Linked DNA regions of Caenorhabditis elegans. The protein of the gene in region 2 interacts with the protein of the main gene of each other region in a pairwise test. Each region holds a gene or a part of one and is shown on either strand. Other genes may lie near its edges. The genes, in order: mrt-2 and haao-1.

Region 1 (17,309 bases), on a different chromosome or scaffold from region 2:
ATTAGCTTGTGTCTGTGTGATAAAAAACATGCGTTTTTATCGAAAAACTACAGTACTCTTTAAAGGCGCATACCTTTTCCCATTTAACAAAAATCGTAATTTTTCGCTTCTAAAGTTGAAAATTGAAGAAAAAAGCAATTTTTTCAACGAAAAAATTCAAAAAAATCTGAAATTTTCCAGATTTTTAGCTCAATTTCCCTTCTAAAAAGCACTAAATTAATTTTTTTTTTCCAAAAAAAAATCTGAAAGTTTCCAGATTTTTAGCTCAATTTCCCCTCTAAAAAGCCCTAAATTAATTTTTTTTTCAAGAAAAAATCTGAAATTTTCCAGATTTTCAGCTAAATTTCCCTTCTAAAAAGCCCTAAATTAATTTTTTTTTTCGAAAAAAAAATCTGAAATTTTCCAGATTTTCAGCTCAATTTCCTCTCTAAAAAGCCCTAATTTTCCAGCGCGCCTTCCTGCCGGCAAATATGGCAACTCTTGGAGCCGCAGAATGGCAATCATGCTTTGGAGAAGTGCTCTTCCCATTGCTCACTAAGCTTCTGGAGCCATTCTCTCAAATGGATCCGATTGGAATGGAGGATACACGTGTTCGGACACTTCAAATCGTCGCGAAAACTCTTTTAAATCATCTCTCAGCCCTGTCGGCTCTTGATTCATTCCCGGATCTTTGGATGCTTCTGCTCGACTATATGGAGCAATATCTTCGAGTTGATAGCTGTGGAAATTTGAATGAAGCAGTGCCGGAATCGCTGAAAAATATGCTTCTCGTTATGGATAGTACGGGAATTTTCGCTGCAACACCTCGGCTTTATGATGTGACTGTGGAGAGGCTCAACAAATTTATGCCCGAATTGATTAAGGATACGATTCCGAATCCACCACGGCCAGGGCAGCAGCAGTCGGAAGCGTCGGAGCCGAAGAAGGAGCATGCTTCTGGGCTTGAGGTGCTCGAGAATTTTTTTTTACTGAAAAATCAGAAAAAAAAAAGATGATTTTCGGTCAATTTTCGATTTCTTTTTCTCTCGGTCAAAATTCCCGGTCAAAATCTCCGGAAATATATGTATTCTTCGAAATTTCGAATATTTCAACGAAAAAAATTAAAAATAAACATAGAAATAGAGAAATTCCCTGAAATTTTGAGCATTAAATTTTTTTAAAAATATTTTAAAAAACTGGAATTACTTATTTTTCGAAAAATAAAAAATTTTCCGATCCAGAATACCGAAAAATCGAAATTTTTCGATTTTTGATTGGTGTTTAAAGCAGAGAAAAAATTGAGCTCTTTAAAAAAAAAAGGACGTACATTCGAAAAAAAACATGATTAATCCAAATCGAGATTTTTTCAAAAATTGAGAAATTAACACTGATGTTTTCGCCTTTTTTTATACCCAAGACATCACAAAATTAAACAAAAAATTACCGGAACGAAAATTTTAAAATAAAATTATAAATTAAGCTGGAAACGGCCAATTTTTAACTAGGAAAAGTTTTTTTTCAACTAGAAAAATTGCAGCCACCACCACCATCATCCAACTCAACAGCCGCCACTTCAACATCTGATCCTTCGATCGCTACTGCACAATCTTCAATTTCGACAGCTTCATCTGTTGTTGGACCACTTGTTACATGTCCAGAAGATGCTGGAATTAGTGCTCCGATTCCAATACAACATCCATTGGTCAGTAGTTTGGGGGCCCAGTAGTGCCTCAAAAATTGAGATATTTTGTTTGAAGACCTGAAAAAAATTAAAAATTCCATGAAAAATCAGAGAACTGACGTTTGTTTTAATTGAAAATGCTCAAAAATGAATTTTTCGCCAGAATAATATTTTGGCGGAAAATTTGCAATTTTTCAAATAAAGTTTTAACAGAAAATTCAAATTTAAAAAAACATTGGGAGATTCAATTTTTTTGAAAAAAAAATTGTTTTTTCTCAAAATTTAAATTTCCCGCCATAGTTTTTTCACGGAAAATTTGAAAATTTTGAAAAAATTAGATTTTCACTAAATTCAGTTATATACTTGCACTTCTTTAAAAAAATATTTTACCTCAAAAAAAATTGGCGGGAAATTTGAAATATTTCACATACTGTTTTAACGGAAAATTCAACTAAAAAAATTTGGTGGGAGCTTCAAATTTTCTGAAAAAAATATTGTTTTTTTTCTCAAAATTTAAATTTCCCGCTGAAAAATTGCAGGGAAATTCAAATTTTCTGAGAAAAAATTTTCGGCGGAGAATTCGAATTTTTTAAAGATATTTGGTCTCAATGCCAAGAAATTTTCAAAAATTCGATTTTTTTTTTCCTGTAACAATCCGAAAATCTTCAAAAATTTTTGAATTCCACAAATTTCTCTCAAAAAAAAAAATTTTTTTCGAAATTTTTTTTTTTGCAGACTGAAGTAATTGTTCACTCGGGACCAACATCACCAATTGGCTCACCACCACAAACTGAGCCACCAGCTTCAAGTCCCCCGCAACACCAACATTCGGAGCACCAACAATATGAGCAATATCGACAGCAGCAGGCAGCGGCTGCACAGCAATATCAGCAGTATAATCAGGTAAAAATTGAAAAAAAAAAATCGAATTTTTAGCTCAAAATTGAGCAATGTTTCGAAAAAAAAACTGATAATTCTAGCCAAAAATTGAAAAAAATCGAATTTTTAGCCTAAAGTTGACCCATTTTTGAAAAATTCGAATTTTTAGCTGAAAATTGACAAATTTTTCAAGAAAAATGCAGTTTTTTACGTTAAAACATTTAAGGAAATGTTTTAAAATTTCAAATAAATTGAATTTTTTTGGCAAAATCGAAAAAAAGTATCGAAAAAAAAATGTTTTTCCCACTAAAATTATTCACGAAATTTGAAATTTTTCGATTTTTTTTAATTTCCAAAAATTTCCAGAACTATCCCCAACAACAGCAGCAACAGCAGCAACAATATGCATATTCACCAGAACACGCGGCATACTATCAGCAACAATATGCACACCAACAACAGCAATATGCAGAGCATTATGGTAGAAAATTGGGATTTTTTTAGGGAAAAAGTCGAAAAATCGAGCAAAAACTGGCACTGGAACGGTTTTTTGAATTTTTTGGAACAATTTTTTTTTCCATTTTCCAAATTAAAAAAGAAATGGTATAAAATTGGGATTTTTTTAGGCAAAAAATCGAAAAATTGAGCGAAAACTGGCCCTGGAAATTTTTTTAGTGATAAAATTGTGAAGTTTTTGAATTTTTAAAGAAAAAAATGGTTTTTTGAATTATTTCCTTGATTTTTTCTAATTTTTCTTGAAGAAAAATGGTATAAAATAATTTTTATACGTTTTTTGCATCAAAATTTTCAGTATTTTTCGAATTTTGGGCTAAATTTCCTTTTTTTTCAGCCAATCAATATCAGCACTATCAACAGCAGCAACAGCAACAACAGCAGCACCCAGTAAATCCAACGAGTCCCAGTGTTCACGGACAGGTATAGTCCTGGATTTTTGGAAAAATTGGAATTTTCCCTGAAAAAACCAGACAAAAATCACATTTTTCTGTGAAAACTTGGTTTTTATCACAAAAAATTACAAATTTTAGATTGCAAAACGTATATTTTAACTAGAAAATCTGATTTTTCAGCAAAAATTTGAAAAAAAAAACGTTTTGGCTCTAATTCTCTCTCGAAAATGTATTTCGCATTTTTTACTCGAAAAAATCAAAATTTCCAGTGAAAATTCGCAAAGTTTAAGCCAAAAATCCAATTTTTTTTGAATTTTTTTTTTTTTTGAAAAATTCTAGTGAAAAATTGAATTTTCGACAAAATCTTCAATTTTCACCTGCAAAAAACCCCCAAAAATTCCACCAAAAACCCCAATTTTTTGCAGTATTCGGTGGCGAATCCTCTTCCACTGCCGGCTCATCCAGCTTATCATCCGATTGTTGCACCATCAGTGAACAGTGCATTCACCCATGTGTACACTCCGCCACAAAATGTGAGAATTCGTGGAAAAATACTGGAAAAAGCGAGATTTTTAGCTCGAAATTGATAAATTTTAAGAAAAAATTGAAGTTTTGAGCTAAAAATTGGCAAAAAGCCAAAAAATTTCACACTTTTAGCCAAAAATTGAGAGAAATTCCAAAGAAACATCAATTTTTTTTGCCAAAATTTACTTTATTTTATTTTTTGGCCCAAAACTGCACAATTTTATTTAAAAAATTAGCTAATTGGCCTAATTGACACAAAATTTTCAACAATTTTTTTTTTTCAGAATGCTCCTGCTCTTGCTCCATCTGCTCCAACAACAACGTCAGCAGATTCTCCGTATTTCACCCCGATTCCCTACAATCCGAGCCAACAGGAGAAGCCTTAATTTAAAAAAAAATTAAAATCTAATTTTTTTTTGCATTGTGATAATTGAATGTTCTCCGCGATTCCCCCTCCATCCATTTTTTTAAATTAAATAAGTAAATCCCCCCGAAAAAATCTGAAAATTTTGAAATTTCAGCACAGAAATAGTCGAATAACTTGGGTTAGAATGATTTGTGTGTCCTATGGTTCCCCTTTTTTAATTTTTTTTTCCTGAAATTTCCTCCCCTTCCCCATTTACTGCTTCTTGTATTTATTATGCGTGCAAGTCCCTCCACCCCCACCCCGAGAAAGTTTTATTATTATTATTATTATTTATTTCATTTTTCTTTCGATTCAAATTTTTTTTTTTTGAGTAATGAAAACCACGTTTTTTAAAAGATTTTTCCACATTTTAGAGCGGGATTCTGGTGGAAAATTCAAAGTTTCTAAGAAATCTATTAGCGGAAAATTCAAATTTTTTGAGAAAAGCAGAAATTAGGCGAAAATGAACGATTTGAGGTATTACGGGTACACAAAATTTTGAGAATGCGTATTGCACAACATATTTTACGCGCGAAATATCTCGTAGCGAAAACTACAGTAATTCTTTAAATGACTACTGTAGCGTCGATTTACTAGCTTGATTTTCGAAGGAATTTTTTGCTTAATCGATCCCTAAATAATTTTAATTAATTCCGAATAACGAGCCCGTGAATCTGCACAAGCCCTACAGTAATCATTTAAATAATTACTGTGGTTTTCTTTTCGCTACGAGATATTTTGCGCGTCAAATATGTTGTGTAGTACGCAATTCTCAGAAATTTGTGTTCCTGTAATATGTCTTTTTTCCAACAATTACGGAGTCTTTTTGCAAAAAAAAAACCCCATTTTCTCACTGCAAAATCCAATATTCGTAATAAAAATCAATATTTATTGAAAATTTCGGCAGGAGACTTTAATTTTCTTTAAAAATACACAAACTTGGGGATTTTTAGGGCTACAAGAAGTTTTGCATTCATTTTCCACATAATATTGCCGGCAAAAAACTCTAAAAATTAATTAGAATTTGAAGAAATCCTAAAAACACATCGATTTTTCAGGGGGTTCTGGCCTTCCTCATTGCATTTTTTGCGCTCCATTGACAATCGCCCGACGGGCAACGCATGGGAAAGTGTCGTGTACTCCACACGGATAAATACATTTAGTTTTACTATCGAGCCGCGACGCGACACGCAACGCGCCGTAAATCTACCCCAGATATGGCTGAGCCAAAATGGCTTAGTTCGGCAAAAACTCTTCCATTTCAATTTATGAGGGAAGCCAGAAATCCTTGTTTTTTTTTTGAAAAAAATCCACGATTCTGTGTATTTTGACGTGACGGTGTACTACGTACCGAGCATTTTATTCGACGAGACACTCACTGAAAAAAAACCCAATTTTTAAAAATTTTTCTCATTTCAAAATGCAATATTCGTAATAAAAATCAATATTTATTTGAAAATTTAAATCAACAGCGAGAATTGCAAGAAGCACGAAAAAGAAGAAAATATTAATTTTTTTTGCGTGCGTTTCGGTGCAGTTTTTCGGGTTTTTATACCCGGGAGATGAGGGTACACTTGTTGCAAAACTCGGGGATCGAACATTAAAAAAAAATTAAAAATGTATATAATATTTTATTCTTCTTCATCAGCGGGCACCGTCAGAAATTCAATGTAGCTTGCGTTTCCCTCGCCGTGATCGATTGAAAATTGACAGGAGAGGACGCCACGCTCGTCGACACGGAGGATGAGCTGGAAAAAACTTAAATTGTAAAGTTTGCATCAAAAAATTCGAGACATTTTTTTTTAGAAAATTGAAAAAAAAATTTCGAAGAAAAACATTTTTTCTAATTTTTTCTCGATTTTTGAAACTAAAATTTGATTTGGAGCATAACGTTTTAATTTATTTTTCGATTTTTTTGGCCAATTTTGGAGTTTTTGGGGTTTTTTTTCGGGGAAAAAAACGGAAAAATGTTGATATTTTTTGTTGCAAAATTGGAAAAATCGTTAAAAATGCTTTAGACATTTTATTTATTTTTTTCGAAATTTTTTTCTGTTTTTGAAAAAAAAATGAAAATTTTTTTTTTCAAATTTAAAAAAATTTTCAAAAATCGAAATATTTTTCGAAAGGAAAATTAATTTTTTCACAAATAAATTTATTTTTCTAAAAAAATCGGCTCAATTTTTTAAATTAAAAATTATAGTGAAAATAATTTTCACAAATTTTTTCAGATTTTTTTCAAAAAATTTCGAAAAAAATTTTTTTTTTCCCCCAATTTTTTCATATTTTTAATGAATTTTTCCTGGAACCATGATAACTTTAACTAGGAAAAATCTAGCAGATAGGCTAAATTTCTTTCCAGAAACTACCTTTGTAGCCAGTATAAAGGCGGTAGTCATTCGTTGAATAAGCGACAGAAGATAGCTAAATTCAACTTCTTCAAGGCACTTTACACTTTCCATTTGAAGGCTTCGAGACGGTATTGATACCTGAAAGTATAAAAAATTTGGTTTTAATTTTTTAAAAAATATTTTTTCAAAACAATTTTTTTTTTTTTTTTTTGAGTTAAAAAATTAAAATTTTTTTCTTTTTAATTTCCTAAAATTTATTTAATTTTCAATTTGAAAAATCCTACTGTAGTCTCGCCAACATCACCGAAAGTCGTGAAACACAGTGAATTCTTGGTGAATTGAATTCTCACCGTTCGGCTTGTGTCATCGAAGTCCTGAAATAGAGAAAAAAAATTAAAAATTCGTATTTTTTTAATGCAAAAATAAGAATTTTTATTTGAATTTTAGAATTTGCGCGTCAAATCATAAGTATTGGACGTCGATTTTTTTGGGTTTGGGTTGGAAATTCTGCAATTTAATCGATTTTTTTTTATTTTCGAAAAATTGAAACAATAAAAACTACTTTTTAAGCGAAAATCGAATTTTCAAGTAAAATTTTTTTTCCAAAATTGAAAACGGAAAATTTTCGTTTTTAGCTCAAAAAGTCGGAATTTTCGGATTTTTTTTTTGGTTTTTTTTAATTTTGAAAAATTAGAAAATCGGAAAAATATCAAGGTTTTTTCAATCAAAAACGGATTTTTTTTTTGAAAAGTAATGAAAAATTCGAAAAAAAAATTTTTTTCAGAAAATGTTTTAAAATATGAAAAACAGACCAAAAAACACCGATTTTTCTGAACGGAAAACATTTTTTTTCGTTTTTCGACAAAAAAGTATCGAAAAATAAAAATAAAACGTTTTTTTTTTCAAAATTGAAAAACGGAAAATGTTCGTTTTTGGCTCTAAAATTCGGAATTTTCTGGTTTTTTTCGTCTTTTTTTGTTGAAAAATTAGAAAATCGGAAAAACCGAAAAATTTTTTTTCAAAAAAGTCGAAAAAAAGTTTTTTTTCAGAAAATGTTTTAAAATGTGGGAAAAAACCCAAAAACAATAATTTTCTGAAGGGAAACCGATTTTTTTTTTCGTTTTTCGACTAAAAAATTTAAAAAAAAATGGTTTTTTTTTCAAAAAAGCTAATTTTTTCAGAAATTTTTTTTTGGAGTCGAAAAAAACCAAAAAATGTTAATCTGTCAGAACAAAAAGAAATTTTTTTGTTTTTGCGACATTCGAGTAGTTTTTTATTTCATTTTGAAAAAATCCAAAAAAAAATTTTTTTCCAAAAAGTCAAAAAAAAAATTCAGAAAATGTTTTAAAATATGAAAAAAACCGAAAAACACCGATTTTTCTGAAGGGAAACCGATTTTTTTTGTTTTTTCACTAAAAAAGTAAAAAAAAAAGTTTTTTATTTAATTTCAAAAAAAAAACATTTTTTTCGAAAATCCAAAAAAAAAAATTTTTTTTGGAAAATGTCTGGAGTTTAATAAATTTTTTTCGAATGTTTAAAGGTTTCAATGATAAAACCTTGATAATCTCCTTGAGAACTTGAGTTTTAAGCAGATAGGTCGCCAGCACACCAGCGTCATCGAATTCAAAGTCGAGCTCCTAAAAATAGACAAAAAAAAATCTAGGAATTTCGAAAACCCGGCGAACTTGATCTGCCAGCGTTGTTGTAAAATTGCCACGTGCCACCCATCCGTCTGCGTCTTCAACAAGCATTTTCACAGGCTGAAACATTCCCGGATACGAGACTTTTACAGAACTCGACGAGTTTTCCGAAATGCTCAGGAATTCCTGGAATTTTTTTGTTTTTTGCCACTTTTTTGGGCTTTTATGGGCTTTTAAAGGCTCACAGAAATCGATTTAATCGAGATTTTCATCGAAACTATCTCCTCGCGAACTTTAAAACTCGAGAAGAACGCCGGATTGATAAAAACGCTGGCCAGCTGATAGGATCCATCGTCGACTGTGATCTTCATGCCCGCCTCGGAAGCGTGCCACGTTCCTGTCTGGAAAATTGAAAAATTTAGATTTTTTCTCAAAAAAAATGAAATTAATATCGATATTTTCCAACACTAACATCCTTAAAAGCGACGGTTTTGAAGACCTGCGCGAGCTCCTTCACATTTTCTTTTTTCAATTCCATAATTGTGCATTGACCCGTTTCTAATTCCATCATTTTTCCTGAAAAAATTTAAATTTTAACCGGAAAACTGAGAAAAATCGCTGAAAATTAAATATAAATTAAAAAATTAATTCTCGCACCGTTTTCCGAGAGGAGTACACCTGCGGAGTTTTGTAGGCCATCGCACCTCGTCCCTCTCATTTGCGCGGAAATTCAAATTTGAAACCTCCGATTTTCGATCTTTTCACCCTTATTTTACACTGTGGCCAGTGTAAAGTACTTTTTCTTTTTGCGAAAAAGATTTTTCTTTCGAAAGCGAGAGAAGCTCACTGATTGCGTGACACACTCATCCGTCGTATCATTTTTGCTCGAAACTAGTTTACAACTTTTATGTGTGCGTGTGTGTGTGTGCTCTTTTTGGCTCCGGATGAGCTGAGCGGACCACGGAGCTATTATGAAATCCCGCGGTCCCCCATATAAACATGAAAAAAGAGCAATTTTTGGGAGTTTTTGGTGGGAGACGGGGAGGGCAATTTGTTCATACATCAATGCGTTTTTGTGTATTTGCTTTTTTTTTCTTTAGGAAGTTTCGAGATTTTTACGATTTTCCAGGCATTTAGTAGATCCCTAGTGTCCACATTTTCCACGTGGAGTACACGACGCGTGGTCAAATCTGGTGCATTGAATTTTTCGCGCTCCATTGACAATCTCCTGCCGGAAAGGACATTTTCCACGTGGAGTACACGGAACGTGGCCTAGAAAACTTTTCTTGGATCTTCACGGGGTTCTGGCCTTCCTCATTGATTTATTCGCGCTTCATTGATAATCGCCCGCCAGACAACTAAAATCGAGCCGCGACGCGACACGCAACGCGCCGTAAATCTACCGCAGATATGGCCTGAGAGACGCAGGGGTTTTTTTGAAGAAGGATATTTGATGGGACAATGGGAAGAAAAAAGGGATTTACAACTTGAAAATTCAAATTTTGCGCGTCAAATCTGGTGCATTGAATTTTTCGCGCTCCATTGACAATCGCCTGCCGGACAACGCGTGGTAAAGTCGTGTACTCCACACGGACAAATTCATTTAGTTTTACAACTAAAATCGAGCCGCGACACGGAACGCGCCGTAAATCTACTCCAGATATGGCTGAGCCAAAATGGCCTAGTTCGGCAAACTCTTCCATTTCATTTTATGAGGGAAGCCAGAAATCCGTAGTTTTTCTCTAGAATTTTTCTAATTCTATTTTTGTCATGCTAGTTCTTTTCCTCAAATTTGGTAAAATTTGTACTTTTTTACTTGTACTTGAGAATTTGTACTTCAGAAAAATAAGGCAAAAACCGCTTGTCCACGGGGAGTACACGACACGTGGCCTAGAAAACTCAGCGCGGTATTTCAAATTAAATTTCATGCCTTTTTCTGTGTTTTCTGTTATTTTATTACGCTAACAAAAAATCCTGAGAATGCGTATTGGGCAACATATTTGACGCACAAAATATCTCGTAGCGAAAACAAAACTACAGTAACCCTTTAAATTACTACTGTAGTGCGTGTGTCGATTTACGGGCTCGATCAATGATAAATGAATTCATTTCGAAAATCGAGATCCCGTAAATCGACACTACAAATGTCATTTAAAGAATCACTGTAGTTTGCTTTTCGCAACGAGATATTTTGCGCGTCAAATATGTTGTGCAGTACGCATTCTCAGAATTTTTTGTTCCCGTAATATTCTTGCTCCGCATTCAAATTTGAGCCGAGAGAGAAGAAAATCTTGTTTTTTTTTTCGAAATTTCCACGACTCCGCCTCCTGTGTGTGTGTGCATTTTTTGGTTCGTTAGCGCTTGAGGCTATGGGCTCTGTCGAGCTCATTTTTCTGTTTTTTTTTCGTGCTCCCCTTCCTATTTTGGCTCGCGGAGCTCAGCTATAAAGCGAGAAAATTGGTCTATAAAATTTTGATGAAATTGAATTTTTTAATTGCTCTGTAACTGAAAAAATTATTAAATAAAAATTTAATTCCCGCTATAATTTTTTGGTATGCGCCTTTAAATTGTGAACTACAGTAGGTTCAGACATTTTTTCTGGAATTTCACGTGGTGCCAGGCTGTCCCATTACGGTTTGATCTACAAAAACGCGGGCATTTTTTGCCCAACAAAATGTGACGTCAGCACGTTCTTAACCATGCGAAATCAGTTGAAAACTCTGCGTCTCAACTCCCGCATTTTCGTAGATCTACGTAGATCAAGCCGAAATGAGACACTCTGACATCACGTGAAACTTTCAGACAAAATATTCGAAAAATTTAATCAAAAGTAATCAAAACTTTAATTTATTTAAAAAAAAACTGTGAAAACTCAATGTCAGCAAATATTTCAAGATTTGCGCGTCAAATCTGATGCATTTTTTTCAACTTAACAATTCTTTGCACTACCCGAGAAATTCAAATTTTCTAACGTTTGTGCGTCAAATCTAGTGCATTCCTTTTTTAAATTTCAGCTTGAAGTGCAATTTTAGCCTAATTTCTACAATTTTGAGTTAAAAATCTTTAGGTTCTGCAGACACGGAGTTCTGGCTTCCCTCATAAATTGAAATGGAAGAGTTTGCCGAACTAGGCCATTTTGGCTCGGCCATATCTGGGATAGATTTACGGCGCGTTGCGTGTCGCGTCGCGGCTCGATTTTAGTTGTAAAACTAAATGCATTTGTCCGCGTGGAGTACAAAAAATGCAATGAGGAAGGCCAGAACCCCGTGAAAACCCGAGAAAAGTTTTCTAGGCCACGTTCCGTGTACTCCACGTGGAAAATGTCCTTTCCGGCAGGAGATTGTCAATGGAGCGCGAAAAATTCAATGCACCAGATTTGACGCGCAAAATTTGAATTTTCCAGTTGTAAATCCCTTTTTCCCGATTTTTCTCCATTGTCCCATCAAATATCCTTCTTAAAAAACCCCTGAAAAAGAAACATATCCAGTTTTCCGCGCGTACACAATAATTCTCGAGGTGGACAATTATCCCCCATTCGTTCTTATTCTCTGCGTCTCTCAAATCCCACACACTCTCTCTCAAGTCTCGTCATTGAATTTGACCGGTCCGGGTGGCCAGAATTAATCTACAAAAGTACTTTTCTTGCACCCGGGGCACGGATATCAGACTTGAAAATTTCCAAATTAAAATTAAAATTTAGTTAAGGCGATGTGACGTGGCGCTGGCGGGGATGAGGAGTAAATGTAATTGGATTTGGGATTTCGGACGAAAAAAGCTTTTAGTGAAAGTAGATCCCGCCAGTTTACTCTTCAGAGAATACTACCAGCAACACACCAGATTTTGGGTTTTGTTGTATTGATTTTTTTGGTTTTTATTCAAGAAAATTTGAAATTCTGAGAATGCGTATTGCACAACATACTTGACGCGCAAAATGTCTCGTAGCGAAAACTGCAGTAATCCTTTAAATGGATACTGCAGTCGATTTACGTGCCGAAGTAGCGATTTTGGGTATGCGCCTTTAAGGTTACTGTACTTAAAAATGTTCTTGAGCCTTTTTTTGCGGAAAATCGGTCATTTTAGGCTATTTTTCTTTAAAAATAGCTAAATTTTCACATGATTTTGCAGGATTCTAGCATAAAACAAGTCAGAGTGTCCCATTTCGGTTTGATCTACGTAGATCTACAAAAAATGCGGGCAAAGTTCTCGACTGATTTCGCATGGTTAAGAACGTGCTGACGTCACATTTTTTTCTGCAAAAAATTCCCGCATTTTTTGTAGATCAAACCGTAATGGGACAGCCTGACACTATGTGTATAGATAAATGAATGATTTTAATCAATTTCGAAAATCGAGACCGTAAATTGACACAAGCGCAACAGTAGTCATTTAAAGAATTACTGTAGATTTCGCTACAAGATATTTTGCGCGTCAAATATGTTGTGCAATACGCATTCTCAGAATTTTGTGTACCTGTGATAGTTTTCATGAAGAAAATAAAAAATGTTCGTTAAAATTTATTAAAAACAGATTTTACTAGCCCCCACAAGATTCAAAAAACTTAAAAATTTCTACAATCTATTTAAAAATGTTTACAATCTCATCCTATACCTCAATGATTCACCCAATACGACCTTCAACATCCTACCCTTGACATCGAAATTCTTGCGAAATGAATATGTCTTCTTTTCAAGAGGCAAAGAAAGAATAGTACTAGAAAAATGGGAATAAAATTGGAAAAACTCGAGGAAACTTTGGGTTTTGAAAATAGAAAATGCTAAAAAAAAGCGTTTTTCGAACGCTTTTGTTATTGCTTCGAGCCTCAGGAAAACCCGGATTTTATTTATTCTATTTTGCGCGTCAAATCTAGTGTACTCCGGTGTGCACACGTGGTGTCAGAGTGTCTCATTTATGTTTGATCCACGTAGATCTACAAAAAATGCGGCAGAGTTCTCAACTGATTTTGTATGGTTAGGAACGTGCTGACGTCACATTTTTTTGGGCAAAAATTCCCGCATTCGTTGTAGATCAAACCGTAATTTTACAGTCTTTTACGCGCAAATATTGAATTTTTTAAAAATAAATTTCTATTAAAATATAGCAAATAACTCTCCAAATAGGAGTAAAAACCAAAGAATTCTCCCATTTCCGACTCAAAATCACTCATTTTTCTTTCCAAACAAAAACGACCTCTCATCAGTTTCCTGCCACAAGTTTTCCTCTCATAATAGCCCCCCGGCTGGGGAGAGGCGGGAGTCCTTTCACTTTTCCCTCTCGTTGTTCTTCTGAATCATTTTTTTCTTTTGAAATTCCTCAATTTATTTTCCTTTTTTTCTCTTTCTTTACATTTTTTTCGGCTGATCTCTTGTTCTCTTTTTTTTTTATTCGTTTTTTAAACGGATTTTAGATGAATTTTTAGCTAGAATTTCAGATTTTTTGAAAATTCACTTTGAAACAAGTACTTCATAATCTAAAATTCATTCGAAAAATTTGTGTTCGTTTCTACTCTGAGAGACAGAAGAAATCTATTTTAGAGCCGTGTAAATTGGGCGAAAAATTGGGAAAAAAAATCCAAATGTCCAAACACCGGCACATCGTGCAATGCATTCTTAAACAGCAATTCCAACAAGAGAACGTAGGCTCCGCCCACGTTTTCTGGCAAAAACATTGTGCTTTACGGGCTCAAAAAATACCAATGATATTGTTTTTGGTGCTTTTTTAGACTTTTTTTTTGTTAATTTCAAAGCTTTTTGAAATATCTCAGATCAGATTTCTCAGAAAAAAATTTAAATTTCTATAATTTTCAGAAAATTCAGAAACGCTTATCGAACAAGTAATTTTTTTTTGTTTGAATTTTTAACAATTTCACGTGGTGTCAGAGTGTCCCATTTCGGTTTGATCTACGTTGATCTACAAAAATGCGGCAGAGTTCTCAACTGATTTTGCATGGTTAAGACCGTGCTGACGTCACATTTTTTGGGCGAAAAATTCCCGCATTTTTTGTAGATCAAACCGTTATGGGACAGCCTGACACCACGTGGCAATTTCCCAATATTTTTTGTTGGAAGTTTTATAGAAATTTCAGTTTTTTCAAACATTTTTTAAATTGAATTTACCTTATTTTTCTGGACTTTGAAAAAATTCCTGGAATTGGCTTTTTTTTAACTGTTTAGACATTTTTTCAGAAAAAAAGTGGAATTTTTTTCAGTAATTTCTACATTTTGTCTGGAAAAATTTGGAAATTTGCCTTAAAAATTGTATAACTTAAATACTTCCAAATTTCTAATTTTCAAGAAATATTAATTTTTTTCCGAAATTTTTTGAATTTCCAGATTTTTAAAATAATTTTCTGAATCTTTTTCAAACAATTTTCTACCCAATTTTTGTCAAAAAAAAACCACGTCATCTCCAATTTCCATAAAACCTATTCAACCATGACAGTCACCTCGAAACTTTTATTGGAGGACCGGGTGATGACGTGGCAATATATATACAAAAAATAAAATAAACAGACAAGATTCGTGTACCTCCTTTTTATTTTGTTTGTTCGATCGGAGGGGAACTGTTCGATTTGTTCTCTGTATCTCTGAGCACTCTCTATCTCTCTCTCACAGAAGATTTGTCCTTCACAATAGGAGGTAGTGGTCACATTTTCGACCAATACTTGAGAATTTAGAATTTCAAAAAAAAGTGTTGCTTTTTTTGTGTTTAGAGGCTAGATACATTCATGAAACGAATAAATTTCCGAATTCTAATTGTAAGTTTTTAAATATATATTTCAAAAAACTTTAGTCAATCGTATTCAATTTAAAATTGTTTAAATTGACTGAAAACTGGAAGTTTTAACAAAAAAATATTTTGGAAAATATTAAAAAAATTATCTAATTTTCCAAAATTTTTTTCAAACGGACAGTTTTTGGATTCTCAAAAAATTATAATTTTTCTTTTTAAAATATCTGTAAGTTCCGGTTTATAGTTTAAATTTTGTTCACCATGCTTAAAAACTGAAAAAAAATTGATTAGTTCCAAAGTTTCGGCAAACTTAGTTAATTACAAAACAGTTTTTTAAAAATGATATTTAAATTTACCAAAATTTGGAAAATTAAGTTTAAAAAATCAGCAGAAATATCTAAAACTTTGAAAAAAAAATTTTTTTTCAACCAAAAAATCTCTGAAAAGTTATCTAAAAATTCAAATTTTTGTGCGAAAAATTCTGAAAAAAATTCTCCCGTTCAAAATTTAAAATACTATAAAGTGTGAAAATTGAAAAAAGTATTTTTCCTAAATTCTAAACAACTCAGAAAACCCAAAATGTCTCCGACAAAATTTTTTGTAGACAATTCGGCAAAACGGCAATTGCCGGTTTGCCGATTTGCCGAAAATTTTCATTTCCTACAATTTGCCGATTCGCCGTTTTCCGAACATCAATTTGCCGGAAGTTTTTAGAGGGATTTTTATAAAAAGAAAATACTAAAAACTGTGCTTTTTTGAAATTTTTTTCCCGTTTTTTCTAGATATTTTTCATAGAATTTGCTTACTTTTCAAAATAGATGTAGGAACATTCATAGATGACGTACAATTTTGCCGATTAAAATTGAAATTCTGAAACTTCCAAAAATTCACTGCAACTTTTTTCAAACGGGGGCCGAGAAAAAATGCGAAAAATCGGTGTTTGCACACAATACACCGCATTTAACGACATTTTGTACTTGCTTTGTTTTCATGTGTTTTTCACCGATTTTTCGCGTTTTTTCTTATTAAAACTGATAAATAAATATTTTTTGCTAATGCTAATATAATTTCCAGATGAGAAAATTATGTATTCAGTCGGCAAGTAGCGGTGAAAGTGGTCAATGTTATATGATGGATTACGGGAATACAAAACCTAAACTTTTTTCCAAACATGATAAATATGCTGCTTAGATGCTGAAACTACCTGATTTTCATAACGAGACCGCTGAAAAAGTTTTGAGATTTTTAAAATTCAACATTTTGTGCGAAAATCTCTACTTTTTCACCAAAAAAGTTGAATTTTGAAAACCCCAAAACTTTTTCAGCGGTCTCGTTATGAAAATCAAGTAGTTTCAGCATTTAAGCAGCATATGTATCATGTTTGGAAAAAAGTTTAGGTTTGGTATTCCCGTAATCCATCATATTACATTGACCACTTTCACCGCTACTTGCCCACTGAATACATAATTTTTTTACTTGGAAATTGTTTTAGCATCTGCAAAAAATATTTATTTAATAGTTTTAATAAGAAAAAACGGAAAAAATTGGTGAAAAACAAAAGAAAACAGGCGGAAAACAAAGCAAGATAAATGGCCGCTGAAATTTGTCGGGGACTCGGCCAAGGCCTAGAAACCTTTTTGCCTCGTCCCTCGTGAGGAAAAAGTTGCAGTGTTAAAAACAAAAATGTGCAATACCATTCTTTGCCGAGAATTTTAGGCTAATTCGGCAAATCGGCAATTTGCGGGTTTGCCGGAAATTTCATTTCCGGCAGTTTACCGATTTGCCGATTTGCCGGAAAAATCGTTTGCCGCCCACCACTGCTCTGAAGCTTCCAAAAAAAATTAGATTTTTTTTTCAGATTTCTAAAGTTTTTTTTTCTTCCATAAAAATTTTATAAAATCTTCTAAAATTCTAGAAAAAATCTGAATTTCAAATTTGTTTCCAAGTTGTTGTACTTTTGGTTAATAAATTTAATTTTTTTTTTCAAAAAAAAAAACATATATTATAATTTATGTAACTGGTCAATGACCAAAACAACATAAACAAAAATACCGGTTTTTAATTTCCCTTTCCCCTTTTTTTTTCCAAAAATTCTCGTGATATACCACCCCCGTGACGTCATCGTTTTGATAAGTACTATCTGTTAAAAGAAGCGCCCTCTGTCACAAAAAGAAAAAGACCAGAAAGCACATTTGGGTCCCCTCCCTTTAATCT
Region 2 (16,071 bases):
AGACATTTAAGTTCAGTAAACTAATTTTTGATAGTCAGAGAACATATATAACAGAGATCTAAAATTGGAAACATTGAAGTTTTAAAAAGTTTTTCATTACTCAATAAATTAAGCCAACCCTGCCTTAATTCAATATTAAAATAAATACGATGAAACATGCATTTAGAAGTTTTTTTTTTCAGAAAACAAAGCTTTGGAAACTTGAGAAAAGAATCATCTCCATAAAGTCTAATATAGGGTCCAAGAAATCTCTTTGTTATATTTCATGACTTCCTTGTTCAGACGTGTAACTTTATTGTTGTACCAAGAGATCATGTGACAGATGACATTTTTCTAGTTTTTCTGAAAGCAGGGAAGTGCCAGAGTGTAAGGGAAAACTACAAATAGCTCGTAGTTTCTTATTAGTGAGTTGGCATATGTTACCTTTTATTTTTCGCATTAAATTTTTCTGAACACCATTACTTCCAGACTACTGACCATCAAAATTCATTCATCAACGAGTAGTGAGTAATATTTATGTATAAAATGAGCTTAGGTGTAGACTGCTTTTATTTTTGTACATGCATAATACGGTACGGTTCACATTATAGCATGCTTCTGCTCGGTTCAGTGAATTTTCAAAGCTAACAGTACCGTCATCAACTCTAAGATCATCAAACCGCTCGGAAGATTCGTTTTAATATTGTAATTTAGGACTACATAAATATCTTACAGAATCAAGTTTTGAAATTACGCCAACCATAACGATTTAATAATCTTTGCAAGAAACTTACTAAAAAATTTAGGAACCAATTGTAAAAACGAAGCATGCGAGAAATTTGATGAGGTTAAACATCAAATGAATGCTCTTGCTGAAGAAACACGTAGCAGCTCACAATATGCGTAAGATCAAATGATGGGATATCATAAGTAAAACAAGCAGAGCATATATAAACATATTCAAAAGATCATAGGTAAGTTAAGATCGTAGGCAATCATTGAATAAGAACACATGGAAAAAATAAGTATAAATACTACTATTTTCTTCCAAACTCTTCAAAATCACATCATCATAAAGGTCATCAGTGGGGATTTTCATAAACACTTTTTCGAAATAATCGAATTTTGTAAATTTTGTAAATTTTAAGTTTTGAGTTTGAAAAATCCAAATATCCTGGTTAAACAATTTACAAAATTTGTACTTTTTTTTCGACTACAAAAAATATCCTAAATGCTTTCGTTTTTAAAATGTCCAGTCAAATTGCCAAATTTTTGAAAAATTTGGACTTTTGAAAAACCCTCAAGAGTGTCTCTAGAATTTTTAGATATAAATAATGTAAAACATTATAAGAATATAACATTTACAGAAATGTTTTTAAAAAATATACTCTTGCCGACTTGATAAATCAAAACGCCACTTTTTGACTGTCATTTAGACTAATATTACATGGTTTACAACGATATATGGCCACGTCAAAATCAAAAGAGTACTTTTAACATTTTTCACAATATCTAAGCTATACCTTTGAGCAATCTGTACATATTCAGCTGTTCACTTACTAGTAAAAGTCATGAATAAAACTATTTGCATAAGGGCAATTTATTTTCACATGAACATATTTTTTTCCATTCCCATGTTCCGATAGTCAACTTCATATTCTCAACCAACTATTCCCATTTTCCTCTTCTGCTATTTCAACCATCAATGATTTTTCCTGTATTTCTTCTAGTTTCCATTATTTTTCCACTCATCTTCTGCCAATGCCGTGATCTTCATCCAAACTGTGATTTGTTCAAAACTCTTGATCTTTGTACATCAGTTAGTTCTCAAAAAGCAATCATGAAATACAATTGTGCGTCTTCTTGTGGATTTTGTGGAAAGCAAGCCGGAAGTTGTGTGGATCGTTTGTCAAACTGTGCCGATTATAAATCTTCAGGACTTTGTGAAACTGATGATAAGCTACGTATTGAATATGCTTGCCCAGTTACTTGTAATGTTTGTTCTACTCCTGTATAATCATTCAATTACTTTGAGAAAAAACCATGAAAAATTAATATCAATAAAGTTAATGTACAAAAAAACATTTAAAGCTTGGCTGAAGAACGATCTCTCAAGAATCGTCTCAAAATCTTTCCAGCTGCGGACTTTGGAATTTCTTCAATAAATTCGACACCACCTTCGAGTTGTTTGTAAGGAGACACTTTTGCTGAAAGTATTATAGTTATACAGAAAATGCACTATTCATAACTTACGTTTAACAAAGTCCTTAACTTCTTGTTCAGTGAGAGTGTTATCAGCTCTTACAACAAATGCTTTAGGTAATTCTCCAGCTTTAGCATCTGGGATTCCAATAACTGCACAATCTCTAATCTTTGGATGAGATAGAAGAAGATCTTCAAGTTCAGCTGGTGGTACTTGAAGCCCTTTGACCTTGATTAGCTCTTTAAGTCGATCAACAATAAACAAATTTCCATCCTCATTGAGATAACCAATGTCTCCAGTGTGAAGCCATCCATCGATGACAGTGCTGGCTGTTGCTTCTGGTCTTCCGAGATACCCAAGCATAATTGTTGGACCACGAACACAAATTTCTCCTCGTTGGTTAACCGGTTGCTCTCTGTCGGTTCCTGGTTCCACAATCTGAATAACTTTTGTATAAATTGAATACTTTTGTTTCCTTTTAAACATTGAAAAACTTGATTCGGAAATTCTCACCTTCATAACCAAATTTGAAGCAAGTTTTCCAACGGATCCATATGGTTGATCATTTCTTAAATCAGGAAGATGACTAGCCATTGAACATTCCGTCATTCCATATCCTTGTTGGATGTATTTCAAATTTGTATACTTCCTCTTCAATTCTTCAATCAAATCCTTTCCAGCTGGAGCTGCTCCCGCCATTATCATTTGCACTGATGATAGATCAAACTTATCGCAAATTGGATGCTTGGCCAAGAAAACCATAATTGGTGGAACTAGGCAAAGACAGCGGACCTAAAGAATTAAATTAAAAATGTTATTTATGAACTTTTGATTCTATACTTTGTAGTTTTGAACGGCAGTCAAAAAATTATTCGGCTCAAAATGGCTCATGACAATTCCAGTCATTCCCTTGAGAAGACAGTGATTAAGAAGACCAAATCCATAGACATGATAGAATGGAAGAAACAAGAGAGCTTTCTCATTGTAGCAGTCCCAATTTGGATCAAGAACATCCAAAATGTGTGATTTATCAATTCTGAAAGTTGTGTCGTATATGAACCTAATTATATTTTCGTTTTTTTTCAATTACTTTTCAAAAAATGTACATAACGTTATACTGATTCTTCTGTATTGATCTATGAAATTGTTTTCTTGGCCCTTATCTTTTTTTGCGTCATAGGAAGGTTAAAGTGTAACCATTTTACTGTTAACTTTGTACTTTCACACCTATTCTGTCTCATCATCATCATCTTTAAATTTCAAACTTACGCAAGATACATGGAGATCATGGATGTAAAATTGTAGTGTGATAGCATAACACCCTTTGGTGGTCCAGTGGTACCACTCGAGTATGGAAGAACGAGTAAATCATTGTGAACATCAATTGGAACTTGTGGTAGAGCAGTGACTGGAGTTGAAACCACTTCATTCCAAGATACAACTCCTGCTGGAAGAGAAGATCCAACTGGTTTTGGGATGACAATGATCTTTTGGATGTTTGGCGATTGCTTCACAGCAAGAAGAACTTTTGGAAGAAAATCTTCGTAAGTAAAAACAACCTTTGCGCGAGAATCAACAAATTGACGTTGAAGCTCATCTGAAAACAGAAATTGCGGGTTGGTGAAAGTAACTTTCATCAATTTAACTTACAGTCAGTGAAAAGTGCACTAGCTCCAGATACAGCTCCACCGTTGATGGCACATCCAATGAAAAATGAAGTATAGTGCCAGACGTTTGGAAGAACAACAGCAGCAACATCTTTCTAAAAGATATCAAAAATTTAAGGCATTGTCTTGAACAAATTGAAAGATTTTTGAAATACTTCCTTTCTCTTGTTGAATTATAAAATTCCCAAATTTTTAACATAATGCCACATACCTTGAACCCAATGCTATGAAGATACATAGCGACAGCAAAAGCATCCTTACGAAGTTGTTCAAAAGTAATGAAATGTTTTGGATTATCTCCGCTCACAAATGCAATTTTATTCTTTCCATCGGCAATTGTTTTATCAATTGCATCAAGGAGCATCTCATGGTACGGACGCTCGGAAATCTTCACTGGTGGATATGTAGAGTCGTGTGGCATGGCTGAAGTTTGAAAAATAAATGAATTTAGCAATAACAATCAAAATATAAGAACTGGGCAAGAGGACAGCATGGGTAGCCTACAGTGTGGCCGAAGGTCAATTTAGAAAAAGATAGAGACTGATAAAGACGACAGTTGATAATAGTAAATAGGAAAACTACAGTGCTTAGACGTTATAATGTGGTCCATTTATTGTAGTCTTTGTTTTTTGGCAATTTATAACATTGATTCAACTGTTGAGGAAAAACCGTTAGAAAATTAAAAAAAAAACCACATGAGCGCGGGAAATACTTATCATTTCAGTTTCCGATGCTCATAATCCTAGACAATTTCAGTTAATACTCAATGAAGACAACGAAAGAAAAAGAATAAATGTACACAAAAAGGGCATATTAATGATAAGGGTTGCAAAACGAAAAATGGGCTATGAACAATAAAATAAAAGATCTGTAATCGTAATCAGATGTTTTTAAAGATCTGAAACTTGGATTGTACGTCATTGATCATATTAAAAAGATGCTCAAAACAAGGAAGTACTGGCCAAATTTCAACAATCAAAGTTCTCGTGACGATTTGACAGTAAAAAATGAGGTATTGTGAACATTTTCTAAATTATAGTTTTTTTCCAACCGAGAAGTTATTTTAAGTTATTATTTTCAATCTTCCCCATCAAATTTAAAAACAACCCCTTTGAAAATTACGGCTAAAAGGCATTTATTATTTTTCTGCTAAAAAATTTTCGGAATGAGTTAACGTTTTTTTTTCTAATGAAATAGAAATCATACTAAAAATAGTTATGTAAACTAACTACAAAACAAAAATTGGATTCTTTGTATTTTTAACCAATTTTACAGTTTTTACAGTGACATAATTTCCTGAAACGAACAACGAGGTCTGAAAGTACAAATTTTCTGAAGCTTTGAAGAACATGATGGTTTTGCTGAACCGACAGCGTGTGTTACACGAGACATTTGACATCGATGATAATGAAACGGAATTGATGTTATCAGTTGGCCACGATTGCATGTCATTCATTTTGTTATAAATCAAAATTGAAATTACATTTTGGAATAAAGATAGAAATATTGAAAAAAGCATTCATTCAATCAGCCTATATGGAAATTGACTTTTACAAAATTGAAAAAAAAAATTATGCTGGCATTCTGATGGTGATAGCAAATCCTCCTTTGACATTAAGAAGACACCTAAAACAAAATTATTTCAAAGAACCTATAATTCCGTATTCTTACTTTGTGTTCGGTTTTATCCTAACCATGGTCTCCGATTTCATTGCATAAGTGAACCCGCTCTCTTCTACGACCGCAAATGTGTTTTCCTAAATGATACATGAATTTTTTTTGGGATTTTTCTGTTTTTGCCATACCTGCAACCAAATTAGCAACTCTACAGTTCCACTTTCCAAATCATAAGATCCCTCTCCTAGCAACATAACTTCAGTTTTGTACTCAGGTGCTCCATAAATTCTCACTGGTCCGTTTCTGAAAACTTCTCAAATTAACTATCCGAAACAAAACCAACTAATTTCTTACTTCACTTCACTGATATGATCATAGATAAATTCTTTTCTATTAATAGGTACGGGTAAATCAGTCCATCTTGCTTCGTATGGAGCATTGCATGCAAATGTTCCTTTTCCTGGTTTACCTGAAACAAAAAATCGGTGAGCTCACACAACTACAAACCAACCAGTTTTGAATTCATTCGATCCATAAAATTCTTTGATTAATGGAGGTAAATCCTTGACAACATCAGTCAAATAGAACCATCTTTCAAAGAGTGTGATATTGGAAGAACCAACAAGAAATCGAACACAATCAAATTCAGTATTCTTTCGTTCACGTTCAACGACAAGACCAATAGAGTTGGAAAATCTTTGAGGTGAATGTTCTACTCTTGCTGGCAACATGAACATTTCCCCTGAAAAATAGAGAGCTCAATTTTGAGTTTTGATTCAGATTATCTAACATTTGTGAAAAAAATAATTCCAAAAAATTTTTGACAACACAGATTTAGTTTCCGTTTATAAATTGTGAAAAATTCTCAATTTTCAGTCTAAATTTTTTGTTCATGGAATTTTAATTTAAAAAGCTAGTTAAAAAGTTATCTAAGAAACCATGTGAGTTTGTGTTATTAATTAATTAATTTACAAATTCAAAAATAAATTTTGTGATGAATCCTACCTTGCTTGATTACTAGATCACGGACTTGACCCTTTTCAATCACTTTCAGTACCATATCCCCTTTTCTCTGGAAGAAAAACTCTTCTCCTTCTTCCAAATGAAAATCTTTTCTTTGATTTGGTCCTCCAACGTAGAAAACTTTCAACTGATCCGAGAACATACACTTGTTACAAACAGGTGGTACAAAATCCTCTTGATTATCTTGAATCCATTGTGGAATCTCAATTGCAGTAACTCCGCTCATTGTTATCACAGGTGGTTCTGCCAGTTTGAGTTGAGGCTTCTGTTGCTCTTCGGTAGAAACGGAAGTCGTACAGACTACTTGCTCCTGATGCGAAATGAATAATTTAGTGGAGGTGAAGCAACTCATCGATTGACAAGGGAATTAGCTCAAGACGAATTGGTAGAGAACTGAGAGATCGGGTTGAAATTGAAAAAAGACTGGAATATATGAATGGCAAGTAAAAGTGACATTTTGACCTCTATAATTATCACAAGAAACGAGAAACGGACAATAAATCGTCGAGAAATACCAATACAAGGCGTTCTTGGGAACGCTTTGAAGTTCAAAGGAACAAAGCATTCGTACCCACCTATTACAAAGTTATGCATGAGAACACATTTTGTAAGTAGTCAAGTTGCCAAAAATTGATTTTAAGCCATAAAAATAATCCTCAGATGCCATAAAGAGAATATGAAAATTTACATAATTTTGAGAACGGCAGTGAGTGTGTTCAGGAATTGATACGATTATGAGCTAAGTACAGTAATCCCCAGATGAAAATTTCGAATTCAATAGAATGTTCAGAGAGTCTCTAAAAGGTTTGGATGTAATAAAAGAGATTAAGAATAGATAATATAATAAACGAATGACCTTCTTTCATATACACCAATTAATAATATAACCTGCCATTCTTCTTACCTTCAGTTTATATTTCTCATATAAATATTGCAGTTTATTGGGTTTTTTGGAACATAAGTTGACACATTCCATCTCCGAAACTTCTCTTTTTCTAACCTAAATTATAAAGCTAAAGTCATAGACGATCGAAGAATTTGTCAATTCGATTACAGTAACATAGACTAAATCACCCACAAAAAACCGAAATTTTTCAAAAAATTGTATGTGGTTGAGACAAAGCGGTGTTAATGTCCGATTAACGCGACGAAATGATAAACGTGCAATGTCACATCTTCTTAATTTCGCCCATCTTCTTCTTCTTATTTCCGTTTTTTGTGTCTTTTTTACATTTTTCTTATTCTCGTATCTAAATCTCCGTGATTTGCTTATTCTTCGCTGATTCAAGTGTCGCTTTTCAATTCTTGATTAATGATAAATGTTTGACCGTCTTAAGGAACTGGTACCCGTTTATTTCGAAAAATTGAGAATTGGGAGTGGGAGGAGGAGAGAGAAGCAACATTAAATTGGTGTTGGAGAGAAAATTGATAGAAAACCTGAGATGCTTTGACCAAAACACGAAGCATTCTGGGTTACATGACTGTTGGAATTGGTGACGATTTCAAATTTTTCTTCTTTTTTTCCGTTGGATACACGAAGAACATCGAGAGAAGTGAACCATCCATACAGAAGAAGATCACGTTGGCTAACTGAAAAGTTGTAAAATTGAATTTAGGATTATCTTAACACATTTATTGGTGCAAAAAATTGTCCACATACTTGAAGTTAGTGTTTTACATCTAAAAGCAACGAATTTTCAAGAATGAAGCGTGGCCTAGAAACTGAGAAAACTCGGTCACTTTCAAAAAGTTGAATTTACACGTGGTGTCAGGCTGTCCCATGTCGGTTTGATCAACGTAGATCTACGAGAATTGCGGGAAATTAGACGCTGACTTCTCTACTGATTTAGCATGGTTAAGAGCGTGCTGACGTCACATTTTTTTGGGCAAAAAATTTCCCGCATTTTTTGTAGATCAAACCGTAATGGGTCAGCCTGGTGCCACGTTATTAAGAACTATCTCAAGAAATCTTCTCCGAAAAACCAATAGAAAAACTATTTTAAGTACATTACTCTCAATCTTCAGAGTGTTCAGAAAGAACCTGTGAAAATTAAAGATAAACCGCCGACCGAGTTTTAGATCTTTCTAGGCCACGTCGAAAATGTGACCCTTTGATTTGATAACAGTTAAAAAATTCCGAACAAACCAGCATGTAAAAATCATCAATACCAATACTATAAACGATCGCGTGGAGCTCCATTACCCACGTGAAGACCACTGGAGCCAGGGGTACAAAATCTATACATTTCGATGTTACTGCTTTGTACTGCAAAATGAAATTTGGAGGTATGGGGAATTGAACCCCAGACTTCTCGCATGCGAAGCGAGCGCTCTACCCCTGAGCTATACCCCCGACGGCTAAACGGGTAACTAGTACTTACTATTAGATACGGACAGACCAGAGACCCAGCAATTTGAGCGCCAGATGCGATGCGGCCAGTGAACTGAAAGAGACATAGAGAAATGAGAGTGTATATAAGAAAAAGGGACGCAGACACTCACTTCTTTCCCGTCTTCATCATTCATATTACCAATGTACAAGAAGAGTAAAGACAGAGCAGCTGCAATTCCAGTCATTAGACGAATTAACTTTCGCTGAAATTAAAAACAAATATTTAAAAAGAACAAGATCCAAATATAAATACTCTTTTGGTACGGTAGAAAATGAGTGCAATCACGAAGAATAGTTGCATTGAAACTGCATATGTCTGCAAAAGGATAAGCTTTGTGTCCCGAAGAAATATTGAATACCGAAGCCATAGTGCAGACCTGAAACTTTTGGAATTCGTTGTACAGTTTTATTATAGCAGCAATTACAGAACCATTACAGTAATCCAGTTTATTTTGTGAACTGAATACTGCAATATCGGAGAGTCGGAATAAAAAGAGAGGCAGAAAAAATTGTGCCCTGGCTTTGAAACGGTGATCCGACTATGCCATATTGCAGTATTCATGGAGCAAATGCTCTCTCGATACAGTACTTCATATTTAAGAGAAACACAATATGATATATTTGGGACGTGATTGGCCTATATAGGATCTTGATAGATGTCGACTGCGAATTCAAAAAAAGTTTCCCAAATGTTCGTTATTTAATGCCCAAGCTACAAGCTACGAAATTGGCAGAGTGACAATTATTCTATTGAAAAGTGTAGGTTTGAAACGTTATAGTTCTGTTGGAACAAGGCTTAAAGAGTGTAATGAATGATATAAGAAAACATGAGAGCTGAAGATGGAGATGGATCGACAATTTCCAAATAAGCTTGAGAAAGTTAATGAAGAAATAAAGTAACGTTTCACTTCAAAATTGTTTTTTATTAGATGCAATAAATGGAAGCTAGATGGCAAAAGATGGTATCTACCAAAACCGTATTTCTTTACGTAAATGCAAATCTGATAGAGGTGAAGGGAATTTTTCATATTGTTTACGCTGCCAAACTACTCATGATCTTCTAAGAAAATTCATGAAGGACATCTCATATTTCAAAGAAAAACTGATCTTGATTGCGGTGAAGGTGGTAAAGTAAAATGGTGAGAATTAGACAAGTTACTAGTACAACTACAACTTAAGTTGAACTTTGTACAACTATGAGCATTTCTTTGTTGTTTTTTATTTATATCCTATGAACACAACTCAAAAACGTGTGCAGTCGTACCACTTTTTTAGATTTTGTCAAGTTCGAAGTACTGGAATATCACAAAAAATAAACAACGTACAAAGTAAAAAGTCGGAAAACTAAAAAGTGTATTTAAGTACACACATTTTGCCTTATTTAAGTAACCAAAAACATATATTTTGATACATTCGTGGTGTCAGAAGTGTATTAAAATACATTTCGAAAAATTACTTGAATACCAAAAAACTAAGTGAGCACTGATTGGTTTCATATTCTGGTAAAAATAAATAAAATCAGACTGGGAGACTAGCACGAGTTGGAAAACTGTTTTTTTCTGTAGAGTTAGATTTCACATTCTTGTCCAACTTTTTTGTTTTTTTTTTCTTTAGAATATACTTAATTTTCCTTTAAATAATAATAAATAAATGTTTAGGGCAAACTCTTACCCAATAACTGCACAAATGTATGGAATGGGAGTATCACTGTCACTGCTTTGCCTTCGTACCCATTTATGAACAGCTTGACTGAAATTTAAATACTTTTAACTATTTTCTTTTAAATTTACCAGTTTTGTTAAGATAAAATTATATTTTGAATGTAAAATAGATATTGTGGACTTTTCGAAACACATTTGTTATTGATATTCGACGTTTTTCTTTTGTTCCCAGCTAATTTTAACCACATTTAATCTGCCTCCCACGGAAGTGAATAAAGTTTATAGGACAGTTTCGACAATCTGCCAAGATTATATCTAGAAAAAAAGTTACTTACACTGGACTAGTAATTAAAGCAACTGCATGAAGAGCTGTAGAGGTTAGAAATAATGACCAGACAAGATTTGATGTATACATGGCAAAGAGCCGAGAGGCAGAGACCGTACCCAAGTCGATCTCCATTCTAAAATAATTTTAGTTAAATATTTCAAATAATTGGAAAGGGAATAATCAATAATTGAATTGAAACATGAGAAAAAGAAACATAATGAAATGCATGGAAAAAGGCTATGTACTTCTGCAATCGAAGGCTTATTCTTTTCTTTTTGACGCCCCATATCTCGGCTTTGCATCTGAATACTTAGCCGCCAGTCAAATGGGAAGAAGACGGACTGTTAGATGTTGGCTAGAAAGGGTTAGAGAATGAGAGAAGGATGAGGAAAAAGAAGGTGAACCGGACATATAGGAGAATAAGAGGTGGGACCCAAATGAAAAAATGAGATAAAATTCATGTGCTTAATGGAGACTATAAAGATTGCTGACGTACTTTATTACACCATACAGGAAGGACATTTTGAATGAAGTTGAAGGTTAATTAAAGATTCGAGAGTAGATTAGCAGCTTCAAATGTTTATTAGACAATTATCTCGACGTTGCGATGGTTTGGATAAGAGGTGAAGGTAGTCAAGAATCTCATTCACTTTCCGGTTTTTTCAAACTTTCAAACTTAAAAGTGATCGCCAATAAGTTGCACTGTTCTCTCCTTAATTGAATATCAATTGATTGAGCAGTAGAACTCCTTAATTAACTAAAACTGCAATGAAAATATTAGTTTTTATTTTAAAGTAATGCTGGCGAACCGGACTAAACCGGACGTCCGGTTTCCGGGTTCTGAAGAATCAGGTGCCTGGTTTTGGGGTGCTACAAAATTTTTAAAATAATTTTTTAGACAGTTCCTATGATATCTGTCTAGTTACAATAATTGCACACTATTATGTATTCAAAATTAGAAAAAAACTGGAACGTGAAATGAAAACTCGGAACATGGATTCAGAAAAACCAGACATCCGGTTTGTCAGCCCTATTTTGAAGATTTCAGTCTTAAAAAATAATTATAAAAAAACGCAGAAATAATTCGATTTCTATAACTTCGTAATAACTTCAATATTCCAAAGGCACCTAAGATTGGCATTAAAGTTTAAAACTTTCGGTTAACGGCGGTCCAACTCCGGCGCCGATCTAGAACTACCGATTATATACTCTTCTAAGGAATCTCTGCAATCACTTTTTAAGCTTCAAAGATCATAGATCTCTTATGAAAACATCAGATTTAAAAGCGGACTGTTTACTTTCTACGTTCCCTGTCTTCAAACAACAGGTCTCTGATCTTCCTCACAATGGTTATACTAGGAAAGTTATTCGTTTTGGATAACGTTCAAAGTGTAGTGTAAACGAGTTCCTGAAGTTTTGAAGATTAGAAAGTTCAAATAATTCAAAGTTTTTCTCGCCAAAAATGTTTAACTTATTTGTAATTTACTTTCGCTAATTTTTCAATTTTTATTTATTTGAAATAATATTAGAATCAGAACAATTCTTTTTCCCAAGAGTTAGTGAAGGAGAGGATTGTCTGAAAGGCTGAATCACGGTATAGGACGATAAAAATAAAATTAAAAAAGTTAAATCAAGAAAACACAATGACATATTTGCATGAAATTGAGAATAATTCTTCTATAGGGAACAATGCGTTCAGAGATTTTTCACGTTCTCCCCCTCAGCCTTGTATTGCAAATGCCCGACACTTTTCCGATTTTCATATTGTTCCGTCTCGGGAAAATATTCACGCTTCGCACGTTTCGATTTCTCTGTATATAGCTTCCTTCTTAATTCTTTCAGCAGTTTATTTTTCTTCGTCCAACATATGTTTGTGTAAATGTTCACAAGACATATCAGATTCAGATTGAAATCAGTGTAGCCATGGAGACCCAGCAGTGTGTTCTGAACAGTTCTTTCACAGGATTTCAAGGTCGATGATGTAGAAAAGGAAGAGTGGAAGCTCTGAATGAAAACGATACATAAAAATGACACGTTTTCACTTTTTCTCAGAAGAAAACGACGAAATACGATGGTTGTGGGGCAGACCGAGGAGCTGATAAAGATCTATTAGCTACGATCTTCTGATGTACCCCTTCACTTATTTTGTAAAAAGTTATGATCAGGCAGTGTTTATTATTTCAATGAGTCATTTTAAATTACATTAGAAATGTAGAAACATTATAAGATACAATGAAAAATTAAAATTAAAAAAGTTTAATTAGTGGAAGAGAAGGCGACGCATGTTCTGCACGGATCGAACTTCCTGAAATACAATATGTTAGCTCATGATATTTTTTGTTTTCATAAGAGTATTTAATTACTTACATTCTTGAACAAATTATCGTCCCAGGATGGGAAGAATTTCTTGAAAGTTGGTGGTTCTTTTCCTTGGAAGATCGTGTCAATAGCTGTTTTCTTGTGACGTGGCAACTTATCTTTTTCCAAGTACAACTTTGCAGTGTTTAATGCTTCTTTCTTCTCATTTGCATTAGCATTTGCTCCAACCCAAACGTAGATGGAATTCAAAGCATCCAAGATCATGACATCATCTCCATCAAGATCTTCTTGAGTGAAGTTTGCAATTTCCTCAACATGAAGAAGACCGCTTTCATCGGAAACCTGAAACTTCAATCTGAAAATTGCTCATTGCATCAAACCAACTTGGAAAAGGAGTGGAGTGAATGTGTTCTTCTTTTTCTCATCAACCCAATCACGGAACCATTGGGTGAATTGAGTAGATTCAGCTGATTCGAGAACTCTAGTAACTTGTGTCCAGCGGGGAAGATGCTGAAATGTGAAAGGAATTATTTTCGAAATAAAATAATTATCATACATGCTGTTTCAAATAGTTCTGCCCCCAAATAAGAGCCTTCGATCTTTCTTCAAGAGTACATTCATGTCCAATCCAGACGAAGATTCCACCATTAATTGCATCAAGAATGAAGGCATCCTGAATTAAAATAAAATTGTTTCAATTAAACTGATTCGGCAACTCACCTTGGGATCAAGTTGCTCTTTTCGAATATTTTCGCCTTGAGAAACCATGCTAACTTTAGCAGCACCAGATGCGTCGGAAACTCTGAAATAAATCAATTTTCAATAGGTTAAATAAATTCCCTTAAATTCCAGTCAAATTTCAAAATTGTCTTACTTCCAAAGTGTAATTTGCTCCGTAAGTCTTTTCCAGTAGTTATCATCGTCATCTTTTCCCTTTGACACCTTCCTAACGGACGAAACCCCACCAAAATAACTCCAGAATGTTGAATCATTATCCCATTCAACATCATCAAGAATATGAACTTTCGGGATTCCCATTCTTTCATGATCAGCAATATTCTTGGCACGAGCCATTCCCTTGATTCTTTCAAGTCTTCCACTCTCTGGTGGCATCCAAACATAAAGATCCTTTCCCAGATCCAAAATGAATACATCTCCCAAATTAAGAGAATTCACTTCACATTCCACCTAGAATTGTATTCTGTGTGCTTTCAATGTCTCTTATCTTCTATTTATTTTTCCTTACCTCCGTGCATCTCACATTTCGTTTTCCCTTACAATGGAACAAATGAGGTTTCCAGTTTTTGAACTGATCGTCTACATGACGGTATCCAGATTCATAACCACCAGATACATAACGAATTCCGTCAGGGAAATAGGACAAGAAGAGAGGAGATTCGTAGTTTTGAATTTCACGATGTTGGGTTGGAATTCCACCGAGAGACTGAAACAATCAAATTTTAAAACTTTCTAGAAGCATTTCTTACATCGTCAATCTCTACAGTCTTGATTGCTGCAACTCCAATTTCATCAGTCGATGCATTCTTTCCAAGCCAGAAATGAACATCCCAACATCCATCGTACTTTTGCTGTAACCATCTCTTTTCATATATTCTGTTCTATAGGAAAACATACGTAGAGTGCAATGTAGGCGTCTCCAATGTAAAACACACCATGATCAACCTCGGGGACCGGCTCCAACACAAATTTCTGAAATTGCGAAACATTGGAACTGATAGATACGTGGGGAGGATAAAGAAGATATTGGGGAATATTTTTGACACAAACAACTTGATATGACACATTTCAAAGTTCAAGGGTTTAAACGTAGGATGAGTAAGATATTAGTTTGTTGATGACAGTGCAAGATTTTAAAACTATAGACCACTTCCAATGACAACTAATTTTGAACACACAACATTTGTAATATATTTCAGAATATTTCACTTAAAATATTAGGAAATAATTGTGACTGTACCGTAGTTCAGACTAGATTTGACACTGTAAATGTTACTCCATTGACTACAAAACGTACATTAATTCTCCAAACAAGAAGCCCGTTCTTCTTTCCAATCTCGGCCAATGCTGGATCCAAGGATGTTCCTCCCATTGTAGTTTAGAACTTTTTTGTTGACCACCAGAATCAACAAGCAATGAAATGAGCAGAGAAAACGACCCTTCCGCATCCTATGGACCCGTCAGAAAGTGTAAAAAACGTGTGTTGTCTGTGTCTCTAATAATTCAATTGCTCTCTCACCAATTACTTTGAGCATTTTACAATGTGAATGGGCGGGAGACTGACGATTAACTTTCTTGTTTGTCTGTTTTGGATTTAGATTGTTCAGATCATTAAATGAAGCTGTGCAATCCAAAGGTTCACATGAACATAGAGCGATCAAAGTTTGAGAAGATTTGAATTTATTATGAAGTTTGACCATGAGCAAACCAGAATAACCATTGAAAATGTTTAAGTCACCAGAACATCCAGCTTTTCTTCAATCAATGCTTGAATGTCACACTTTGTTTTTAATTTAGAGAAAACCGCATCAAATTCCGTCAATCCACATCACTCCAACCCACCAATTCCCAACCCACCGCCATGCACACCAACAATAGTTCACGTGTAAACAAAAATCCTTCACATAACTCCACGCAGAACCAACCACCTCGAGTCTCTATTATGCAGCCCGCTAAGAACGTCCCAAAAAACTGAGCGTGTATTCTAAAGGTTTTTTATTCTCAAAATTAAATTGTTCCCCAATCCCAGGCCTCAAATTAAATGTACTATGTGCCAATATAAGATCTGTTAATGCTAATCGATTAGAACTAATGGGGGAATTGACCACAAATGAACATGACTTAGTCTGCTTGCAAGAAACATG

Evidence for each region.
Region 1: the proteins of haao-1 (region 2) and mrt-2 interact in a two-hybrid assay, tested with the Caenorhabditis elegans proteins (2 studies listed by BioGRID).

The regions. Positions count from the first base shown.
Region 1 is NC_003281.10:11,738,677-11,755,985, reverse strand, and holds mrt-2 (Cell cycle checkpoint protein RAD1 homolog mrt-2), read right to left. Parts: upstream 9,221-17,309; 5' UTR 9,024-9,220; intron 8,943-9,023; 5' UTR 8,938-8,942; coding exon 8,839-8,937; intron 8,768-8,838; coding exon 8,612-8,767; intron 8,553-8,611; coding exon 8,412-8,552; intron 8,364-8,411; coding exon 8,283-8,363; intron 7,101-8,282; coding exon 7,011-7,100; intron 6,865-7,010; coding exon 6,745-6,864; intron 6,127-6,744; coding exon 6,010-6,126; 3' UTR 5,811-6,009; downstream 1-5,810. Other genes in the region: gbf-1 (Golgi-specific brefeldin A-resistance guanine nucleotide exchange factor 1 homolog), read left to right, coding at 450-947, 1,517-1,681, 2,396-2,563, 2,906-3,020, 3,390-3,475, 3,873-3,980, 4,257-4,358. UniProt on the Caenorhabditis elegans protein: May be a component of the 9-1-1 cell-cycle checkpoint response complex that plays a major role in DNA repair. Promotes DNA double strand break-induced cell cycle arrest and apoptosis, thereby playing a role in genome stability.
Region 2 is NC_003283.11:9,496,333-9,512,403, reverse strand, and holds haao-1 (3-hydroxyanthranilate 3,4-dioxygenase), read right to left. Parts: upstream 7,495-16,071; 5' UTR 7,394-7,494; intron 6,800-7,393; 5' UTR 6,716-6,799; coding exon 6,472-6,715; intron 6,209-6,471; coding exon 5,978-6,208; intron 5,936-5,977; coding exon 5,821-5,935; intron 5,770-5,820; coding exon 5,655-5,769; intron 5,607-5,654; coding exon 5,521-5,606; intron 5,476-5,520; coding exon 5,421-5,475; 3' UTR 5,286-5,420; downstream 1-5,285. Other genes in the region: acs-14 (4-coumarate--CoA ligase), read right to left, coding at 2,065-2,186, 2,233-2,620, 2,696-2,974, 3,023-3,218, 3,452-3,779, 3,833-3,944, 4,061-4,270; swt-5 (Sugar transporter SWEET), read right to left, coding at 7,963-8,079, 8,636-8,755, 8,871-8,933, 8,992-9,084, 9,135-9,258, 10,553-10,630, 10,878-11,002; gsnl-1 (Gelsolin-like protein 1), read right to left, coding at 13,131-13,175, 13,238-13,531, 13,574-13,699, 13,746-13,862, 13,910-13,991, 14,064-14,377, 14,436-14,633, 14,677-14,778 and 2 more. UniProt on the Caenorhabditis elegans protein: Catalyzes the oxidative ring opening of 3-hydroxyanthranilate to 2-amino-3-carboxymuconate semialdehyde, which spontaneously cyclizes to quinolinate.